3 linked regions of the Saccharomyces cerevisiae S288C genome follow. The protein of the gene in region 1 interacts with the protein of each later gene in a pairwise test. Each region holds a gene or a part of one and is shown in the gene's direction. Other genes may lie near its edges. The genes, in order: LSP1, FLC1 and MRP8.

Evidence for each region.
Region 2: the proteins of LSP1 (region 1) and FLC1 interact in a protein complementation assay, tested with the Saccharomyces cerevisiae proteins (2 studies listed by BioGRID).
Region 3: the proteins of LSP1 (region 1) and MRP8 interact in binary tests that used the Saccharomyces cerevisiae proteins (3 or more experiments, as listed by UniProt).

The regions. Positions count from the first base shown.
Region 1 is NC_001148.4:550,008-553,303, reverse strand, and holds LSP1 (lipid-binding protein LSP1), read left to right. Parts: upstream 1-1,646; coding exon 1,647-2,672; downstream 2,673-3,296. Other genes in the region: ULA1 (Ula1p), read right to left, coding at 1-1,284; AEP3 (Aep3p), read right to left, coding at 2,998-3,296. UniProt on the Saccharomyces cerevisiae protein: Together with PIL1, main component of eisosomes, structures at the cell periphery underneath the plasma membrane that mark the site of endocytosis.
Region 2 is NC_001148.4:131,478-135,237, forward strand, and holds the start of FLC1 (flavin adenine dinucleotide transporter), read left to right. Parts: upstream 1-1,565; coding exon 1,566-3,760. Other genes in the region: FMP40 (Fmp40p), read left to right, coding at 1-751. UniProt on the Saccharomyces cerevisiae protein: May be responsible for the transport of FAD into the endoplasmic reticulum lumen, where it is required for oxidative protein folding.
Region 3 is NC_001143.9:176,767-179,834, forward strand, and holds MRP8 (Mrp8p), read left to right. Parts: upstream 1-1,748; coding exon 1,749-2,408; downstream 2,409-3,068. Other genes in the region: ribosome biogenesis protein LTV1, read left to right, coding at 15-1,406; succinate dehydrogenase cytochrome b subunit SDH3, read left to right, coding at 2,901-3,068.

The DNA.
Region 1 (3,296 bases):
TGCACCTCCAAAAAAGGCCATTACGGAATAGTTATCGTCGACTCGTAAACCAATAAACTCATCTTTATCCTCTGCAGTTACTGCCGGTTGCTCCCAGAATTGGACCATAACTAATGCATCTAAAAGGGCATTCGAGGTGCTAAAAATACCTAACAAGTCACTTTTTGGCGGCAATATTTTCCTGACCTCCCCGTAATGAGAACAAAATGTCTCCAAGACATCCTGTGAAACTATTTTTTTACTGCGAGCCAAACTTTCCTCCACACGAGACTTGTCAAGCTTTGCTTTTACTTCATACAGTTTCTTGAGTCTGATATAATTTTCCGTTGTTGACTCCATATCTGGGAGAGTGCCCGTTAAAGGTTGAAAGCTGAGCTCCCCATTCTCTTTAGCAATATTTTTCAAAGTCAATAATAGTGTGAGAATCTCGTAGTTATAAGTATCATGCCAATCGTTCCCATAATCTGATATTTCCAAATTTCGGAGCAGATCTTCCAGTTCTTTACAACAATCATTTTGAGAGCAGGCCAAGTAAGCATAGCGTTTAGCTTCCACATAATTGGGTTCGTAGATAACATCATTCCCTAAAGGAAGGCAAATTTGGTCTAAAACTTTCTTCATCTGATCAATCGTTATCCTCCCATTATTACCATCCCTTTCAAGTTTTGCAATACACTTCATGAGCAAAACAGTATATGGAATACCAGAAAACGTGGCTGTATCCATTTTACTTAGGTCAAATGTATCTACGTAATTTATTAGTTCAGGCCAAGGGTTCTGTAACCGTAAATCATACTTCTTACTATCTGGGTGTGCTTGCAAAACAAAATGTGTTTCTGAGAGTACCAGATATATATATCCATAAAATCCAGAGACGAAAGTGTTTAGAACAGGCGGAAACTTTGTTCCTCTCTGCCGCCTAATCTCATTTAAATCGAGCATCGCAGTTTGCTCACCAATACAAGTCAAGATCACCACCGAGAAGCGGGTCCAATCATACTGAGGTTGCTGTAACGTCTTTCTAAGGTCATTTTCCTCATATTCTAGCTGTTTAGAAGCCAATGGCTCAAGATCTTTTTTAAGCTCTGCTAAAAACAGAGAACCCGATTGAACTGCACACTCTACTTTGAGCCAAGTAAGAGATGATATTCCGGCAAGCACCAGATTCTTAAAAACTTCCTGCAGCAAAGGTGTAGCAGGTCCTACCACGCACACACGGGACCGGTTCAAACTATCTTGGCCCAATGCTCCCCATAGTCTCAGCTGTCTATCATATCTTTCCATATTTTCATCTACGGCTGTCTAGTTGGCCTAAGAAAGAAAGAGAGGCGACTCATTTTTTTGACGTCAATCGTCTGACTTGTCCTTCTATTTCATTGCTAGGCTAGAAAGCTTAGCTCTTACAACCCCGCTCGTTGCAGCCGAGTGAAAAGGGGATTGCGAAAGGCGTTAGAGGGGATAAAAAGGGGCCCTTTAAAAAAAAGACGGAAAAACCGGGAAGATGCAACGGCTAAATCGCAATATATAAACAGGTGAGATAGAAAAGAAAAAAATCAGTTAACCTCTTTCCTCAATTCCAATGCTTGACCGTAAATTCTCTTTATTTGGTATACGAAAGATTAAACTTTCAAAGCTCCAACACAAGAATGCACAGAACTTACTCTTTAAGAAATCAAAGAGCTCCAACGGCTGCTGAGCTACAAGCTCCTCCACCACCACCATCCTCAACGAAGTCCAAGTTCTTCGGAAAGGCCTCTATTGCGTCTAGTTTTAGAAAAAATGCGGCTGGTAACTTTGGGCCAGAGTTGGCTCGTAAATTATCTCAATTGGTTAAGACTGAAAAAGGTGTCCTTAGAGCTATGGAAGTTGTTGCCAGCGAACGCCGTGAAGCTGCAAAGCAACTGTCTCTATGGGGTGCTGACAATGATGATGATGTTTCCGACGTAACCGACAAATTAGGCGTCTTAATATATGAGTTGGGTGAACTACAGGACCAGTTCATCGATAAATATGATCAATACAGAGTCACATTAAAATCAATTAGGAACATTGAAGCCTCTGTTCAACCTTCGAGAGATCGTAAGGAAAAGATCACAGATGAAATTGCCCATTTGAAATATAAAGATCCTCAATCAACAAAAATCCCAGTTTTAGAGCAAGAACTAGTTCGTGCCGAAGCTGAATCTTTGGTTGCGGAGGCTCAATTATCGAATATCACACGTGAAAAATTAAAGGCTGCTTATAGTTATATGTTTGATTCATTAAGAGAGCTTTCTGAAAAATTTGCCCTGATTGCTGGATACGGAAAGGCCTTATTGGAGCTGCTAGATGACTCTCCTGTCACTCCAGGTGAAGCTAGACCAGCGTACGATGGCTATGAAGCTTCTCGCCAAATTATTATGGATGCTGAATCGGCCTTGGAATCTTGGACCCTAGACATGGCTGCAGTCAAACCAACTCTTTCATTTCATCAGACCGTTGATGACGTCTATGAAGACGAAGATGGTGAAGAAGAAGAAGAACCTGAAATCCAAAATGGAGATATCCCCGGTCAAGTAGTCGAAGAAGAGGAAGTTGAATGGACTACTGAAGTTCCTGTAGATGATGAAGCCCATGAGGCCGATCATCATGTTAGTCAAAACGGTCATACCTCCGGTTCTGAAAACATCTGAGTTTTTTCTAATAATTAATATATTCGAACCTTTCTATATTGTGCTTGTTTTTCACCAGCTCGTGTCTACCTATTATTAATTTCATCTGAATTTGGTTCAAGTATTGTTCGGCCAATATTCCGGTATTGTAATCACCTTTATAATTAATTGAACAAATTTTATAAGACCTAATAATTAACCTTTCTCTTGTTCTCCTTTGCCGTAAGAGATTCAACTTTTCGAAGTCTAATTAAATGAATATGATCTATGAAGTATATATGTACAATAAAAATGCCTATATTAATAAAATTCCTGTCCAAATGCCAGGGCACTTATGCCTCCCTCATCAAACCTCCCCAACTATTCTCCTCTTTACTAGCTCTTTTTTGAAAGCTACATCATTGTCTTTGATATACGCCATTCTTTTTTCCAAAGCAGCCTTTGTGGCTATTGCTTTAACCCGATTTCGATATTCTCTTTTTTTCTGGGAAATGTTTGAGGGTAGGTTTGTGGGCTTCTGATGATCTTGTGCTGTATTGGTGCAGCGTAAAGTAGTGGGGATACAACCCAAAAAACGTAGTATTTTTTTTTGTGAAGAATCACTTTCTTTCCAAATTTTCCAAGAGAACTCACCCTCGGAAGCAA
Region 2 (3,760 bases), 420 kb from region 1:
GTATGTGTTTACGACAAGGTACGCGCAGATAATGTCTCAAAGACTCGGTGTAGATCTGGATCTGGAAAAGTGCATGTCTTCTACAAACCTCAAAGATATCGAACATGCAGCCGAGAAGGCTAAAGAGTTCTGCGATGTTATCGTCGAACCATTGCTAGATATTCTGCAGGCCACAAAAGTCGACTATAACAATTTTTTTATCCATCTACAAAATTACAAGGGGCCCTTCTTCATCAAAGATAAAAGTGACACCGCAACACTTTTTGGAGCATTCGATGAAGAGTACTTGGGTATGTTCTTCAACTCCAAGCAACTGCAGCAAATGGCAGAAACTGAAGAGGCCTTCGCGGCTGGTGAGAAGGTCTTTGACGCTAACGGCGAATTGCGTTTGCTCAACGAAAAATTGCAAGAAATACGCAATTGGACCCAAGACTATTTGACCTTGGTCCCACCCACGGAAACTGCTGCAAGAGCGTCGCTTGCCAAGAAAGCCAACCCGTTGTTTGTCCCCAGAAGTTGGGTACTGGAGGAAGTAGTCGACGATTTAATGTACAGTCAAAGGGATGGCCTACAAGATCCCAGTTCGGAGCTAGATACATCTGCGTTGAAGAAGCTATACCTAATGAGCGTAAACCCATACGACCGCACGAAATGGGATGTCACTCTGCGGCCAGAACTGGAGACAAAATGGGCTGACCTTTCCCACCAAGATGACGCTAAGTTTATGATGCAAGCTTCCTGCAGTAGCTAAATGACCACAGATGTATTTATACATTCATAGCTATATATATACATATATATATATACATGTAATATGGCGCAAGTAGGCACGGTAGTCACCAATTGCTCAGGTATCTCCTCGGTGTAAAAGCACGTACACCGCGTTCGGAGAGTCGTTTATAAACTCAAAAGGGGAAAGAGACAAGGGTAGCCGAACGACTGGCACCGGACACGAACACGAAAACTTATTTAGATTATTAAAAAAAAAAAAAAAAGAGAGGAAACGAGGCGGAGGCGGAGAGGAGGAGAGAGACAAGAGACGGGCAGAACAAGAAGGGTAAAAACAGTGAGAAACAGTCTCCGCCGTTTTGACTGCGTATCCATCGTTATTGTCCACTACGAGACGCTAATGACGAAACGAGCTACCACATGCGTTTCCTACGCACCTGCTAAAGACCTGACACTTTAAAGGACCCATCTTCTGGCCTTCTGTCCCGGGTGCTGACCAAGCTCTCTTCCTTTTCCTTGCATTTTTTATATATTAATACTCACTTTCTTTCCGATTTTTATTTTTGAGTCTTCTTAAGCAAAATCCTGCTATGCGAATCTGAACCGATCGCTCGAGAACTAACTTAACCATACTTGCTCACATTGCCGTTTTGGGAAACTGCGGAATTTTTTTGGGAAAGAACAAGAAATAAGCGGAGGCACACATAGAAAAAAGAAACGCAGAAAGATCAAGCACGGATATTTCTGGCTAGAGGTTTATAAAAGAAAGAATACCTGGCAGCAAAGAGATTATTTTCATTATTGACACACATACCCGACCAAAAACGGCGTTAAGAATGCAAGTACTAGTGACGCTCTGGTGTCTAATATGCACATGCCTGGTACTACCAGTGGCCGCCAAGAAAAGGACACTGACAGCGAGTTCACTGGTCACGTGCATGGAGAACTCACAGCTTTCAGCCAATAGTTTCGATGTGTCGTTTTCTCCAGACGATCGATCGCTACATTACGATCTGGATATGACCACGCAGATCGACTCTTACATCTACGCTTATGTGGACGTGTATGCCTACGGGTTCAAGATTATTACGGAGAACTTCGACGTGTGTTCAATGGGTTGGAAGCAGTTTTGCCCTGTGCACCCAGGTAACATACAAATCGACTCCATTGAATACATTGCCCAGAAGTACGTGAAAATGATTCCGGGAATTGCCTACCAAGTGCCCGATATTGATGCGTACGTAAGATTGAACATTTATAACAACGTAAGTGAAAATTTGGCTTGTATCCAGGTTTTCTTTTCCAATGGGAAAACTGTATCACAAATTGGGGTTAAATGGGTGACAGCTGTTATCGCCGGTATTGGTTTATTAACTTCCGCTGTCTTGTCCACCTTCGGGAACTCCACAGCAGCATCTCACATTTCTGCAAACACCATGTCACTGTTCTTATATTTCCAATCTGTCGCTGTGGTCGCAATGCAACATGTAGACAGTGTTCCACCCATTGCTGCTGCCTGGTCTGAAAACCTTGCCTGGTCGATGGGCTTGATCCGTATTACATTTATGCAGAAAATCTTCCGTTGGTATGTAGAGGCGACTGGAGGCTCCGCATCTCTATATTTGACCGCGACAACAATGTCAGTGCTCACTCAACGAGGTCTGGATTACCTTAAAAATACTTCGGTTTACAAGAGGGCGGAAAATGTCTTGTACGGTAACTCAAACACTTTAATCTTTCGAGGAATTAAAAGAATGGGATACCGTATGAAGATTGAAAATACGGCCATCGTTTGTACTGGGTTCACATTCTTTGTGCTGTGCGGTTATTTTTTGGCCGGGTTTATCATGGCCTGCAAATACAGTATCGAGTTATGTATAAGATGTGGTTGGATGCGGAGTGATAGGTTTTACCAATTTAGGAAAAACTGGAGGTCAGTTCTGAAAGGATCGTTGTTAAGATACATCTATATTGGGTTCACGCAACTGACAATTTTAAGTTTTTGGGAGTTCACTGAACGGGATTCCGCCGGTGTTATTGTTATTGCATGCCTATTCATTGTATTGTCATGCGGGTTGATGGCGTGGGCTGCGTACAGAACCATTTTTTTCGCAAGTAAATCTGTGGAAATGTACAATAACCCAGCTGCTTTATTGTATGGTGATGAGTACGTCTTAAACAAGTACGGGTTTTTCTACACCATGTTCAACGCAAAACATTATTGGTGGAATGCTCTTTTAACGACGTATATTCTTGTAAAAGCTTTATTTGTCGGATTCGCACAGGCATCAGGTAAAACGCAAGCATTGGCTATTTTCATTATTGACTTGGCGTATTTTGTTGCCATCATCCGTTATAAACCATATTTGGACCGTCCAACGAATATTGTCAACATTTTTATTTGCACTGTCACCTTGGTCAACTCTTTCCTTTTCATGTTTTTCTCAAACTTGTTTAACCAAAAGTATGCTGTCTCTGCCATCATGGGCTGGGTGTTTTTCATTATGAATGCTGCGTTTTCTTTGCTTCTACTGTTGATGATTCTGGCCTTTACCACAATCATTCTGTTTTCTAAGAATCCTGACTCCAGGTTCAAGCCAGCAAAGGATGACAGAGCATCTTTCCAAAAGCATGCTATTCCTCATGAAGGTGCCTTGAATAAGTCAGTGGCCAACGAATTAATGGCCCTAGGTAATGTGGCAAAGGATCATACCGAAAATTGGGAATACGAACTGAAGAGTCAAGAAGGTAAAAGTGAAGATAATCTTTTCGGAGTTGAATACGATGACGAGAAAACAGGAACTAATTCAGAGAATGCTGAAAGTAGCAGTAAGGAAACCACCCGTCCAACCTTTTCTGAAAAGGTTTTACGTTCATTATCAATCAAAAGGAATAAGAGTAAACTGGGCAGTTTCAAGCGCAGCGCTCCGGATAAGATAACACAACAAGAGGTTTCTCCTGACCGCGCCAGCTCTTCGCCTAACAGCAAGTCATACCCCGGTGTCTCGCACACCAGGCAAGAATCTGAAGC
Region 3 (3,068 bases), on another chromosome or scaffold:
TAAAAAGCACGAAGATGTCGAAGAAATTTAGCTCTAAAAACTCCCAAAGGTACGTGGTGGTACACAGACCCCATGATGATCCTTCATTTTATGATACAGATGCCTCTGCGCACGTTTTGGTTCCTGTCTCCAATCCAAATAAAACTTCTCCAGAAGCAGATCTTCGAAAAAAAGACGTGAGTTCAACAAAACCAAAGGGTAGGAGGGCTCATGTGGGAGAAGCAGCTTTATATGGTATTAATTTTGATGATTCTGAATACGATTATACTCAACATTTGAAGCCAATAGGTCTCGACCCTGAAAACTCCATCTTTATAGCATCCAAAGGCAATGAACAGAAGGTCGAAAAAAAAAACATTGAAGATTTATTCATCGAACCTAAGTATAGACGTGATGAAATTGAGAAGGATGACGCGCTACCTGTGTTTCAAAGAGGGATGGCAAAGCCAGAATATTTACTACACCAACAAGATACCACCGATGAAATTAGAGGTTTCAAACCTGATATGAATCCTGCATTAAGAGAGGTGCTTGAAGCTTTAGAAGATGAAGCATATGTTGTTAATGATGATGTTGTGGTTGAAGACATCAGCAAAAAGACACAACTTCAAGGCGATAACTATGGAGAAGAAGAAAAGGAAGATGACATTTTCGCACAATTACTAGGGAGCGGTGAAGCAAAAGATGAAGACGAATTCGAGGATGAGTTTGATGAGTGGGATATTGATAATGTAGAAAATTTTGAAGATGAAAACTACGTTAAGGAAATGGCGCAATTTGATAACATCGAAAACCTGGAGGACTTGGAAAATATCGATTATCAAGCTGATGTTCGAAGATTTCAAAAAGATAACTCTATACTAGAAAAGCATAACTCGGATGATGAATTTTCTAATGCAGGTTTAGACAGTGTAAATCCCTCTGAAGAGGAAGATGTGCTGGGCGAATTGCCCTCTATCCAAGACAAAAGCAAGACGGGGAAGAAGAAAAGAAAGAGCCGTCAAAAAAAGGGTGCCATGTCAGATGTATCTGGATTTTCCATGAGTTCAAGTGCCATTGCGCGTACAGAGACGATGACAGTACTGGATGATCAGTACGATCAAATCATCAATGGTTACGAAAATTATGAGGAAGAACTAGAAGAGGACGAAGAACAAAATTACCAACCATTTGACATGTCAGCAGAAAGATCTGATTTTGAGTCAATGCTTGATGACTTTTTGGACAATTACGAACTGGAGAGTGGTGGCCGTAAACTGGCTAAGAAAGATAAAGAAATTGAAAGGCTGAAGGAAGCTGCTGATGAAGTAAGCAAAGGTAAACTGTCTCAGAGAAGAAATCGTGAAAGGCAAGAGAAAAAGAAACTTGAGAAGGTCACCAATACACTAAGCAGCTTAAAATTTTAGAGGAGTAGAATGAGATGAGAAAGCACCTACATTACAAGTACTGTGTAGACATGTATACTTAGCCTAGAATGCATTGATGCTAAAATACATCCTGCCCACCGGGTAATAATTATGAAACGCGGCGGTGCTCTTTGTGGATTTCGGAGAAAGGGGGTGGAGGAAGGAGGTCGATTTTCATTATTCAAATATTGTTTTAGTATAAAGAAAACCGGCGTGCATTGCTTCAAAGAGCCGTTCAAATTAGTAACCGTTTGAGATATCTTGTCTTACTACTCGTATTCCGCAGATAAAGTACATTTTAAGAAAGGAAGTAAATACACATAAATAAATAGCAGGAAGAAAATGTCTAACGAAATTGAATTACTGCAGAAGCAAGTCTCTGAATTACAAGACTTAGTGAAGAAGCAAAGTCTGATTATCTCTAAGACAGGAGAGCGTGTGCTGGAATTGCAGTTAGATAAACAAAAGCACGACGTAACTGATTTTGATTCGAAATTCTCTAAATCTATCTCGAAGAAATCAGGATCCGCTACTCAATTCGATGCCACTGATTTTGCCACAAATGAAGATCTAGTGGAATTAGTCAAAGAACTACAGGGTGAGCTAAATTTCATCGAGGAAAGGTCTATCAGAAGACTTGTTAACTCTTTGAAAAAAGATGATGATGACGTTATAGCGCCACTGCCTAATGCAGATGGTGATATTCCTGCTATTTCAGACGGAGTGTTCCCTAAGTCGTTGAAAGAATTTAAAGACATCCCAGACTTAAAACTGGTAAGACTTGCTAAATTCTACGAAAGATTGCCACCAACTCTAAAGGAACAAGAAGATTTTGAAAACTTCCTGGAAGGTAAGGTGGAAGCCTTTCACATTAATGAGACCACTGATGAAGAGATTTCTAAGGAGTTGGAAAAGTTCTCCAAAGATGAGCTAGATGATGCATTTAATGATGTTGCCCGCTATCTAGGTCTCTCCCTTAGAAGAGGAACCGAAATATGGTAAACAGAAAATGAAAAAAAATGAAAAATCAATGAATAAGAGGGCTTGAGTTCCAGGTTCTAGAAATTTCCCTCACTTATATATATATATATATCTATATACATATAGTTTTGAGTATATCATAACAGGATTCTCTTTCAATGAAACCTATGTTTTCCGCGGCATTGCAGTTAAAGGATGTTCTAGTGGTGAAAAAGAGAAGAAAAGAATTCAAAGTTTTCCTCCCATAAGTATACCTATACTTTTTATCTGTGATTGAAAGCTGTATACCAACAGCCTTCTATATATTACCTTGTATACCATTCAGTAGTCTTAAGCATCATCTAACTTTTGACCAGGTCCATTCTGATTGGCTGCGGTAGCCCGCTCCGTTTTCCGCTCTAAGCGTTTGGTACTTGTATAAATGTGCACTGGCATTATGATATCGAGATCCCCGCATAGAAATCTCAGGACCAACCAAAAATTGCCAATCACAAGCTCTAAGAATAATAAACGATGTCTGCAATGATGGTCAAGTTAGGACTGAATAAGTCGGCTCTATTACTGAAACCCTCCGCCTTTTCAAGAGCAGCTGCCTTGAGCTCCTCGAGGAGGCTGCTTTTTAATACAGCTAGAACAAACTTCCTTTCTACCTCACCATTGAAGAATGTGGCCAGTGAAATG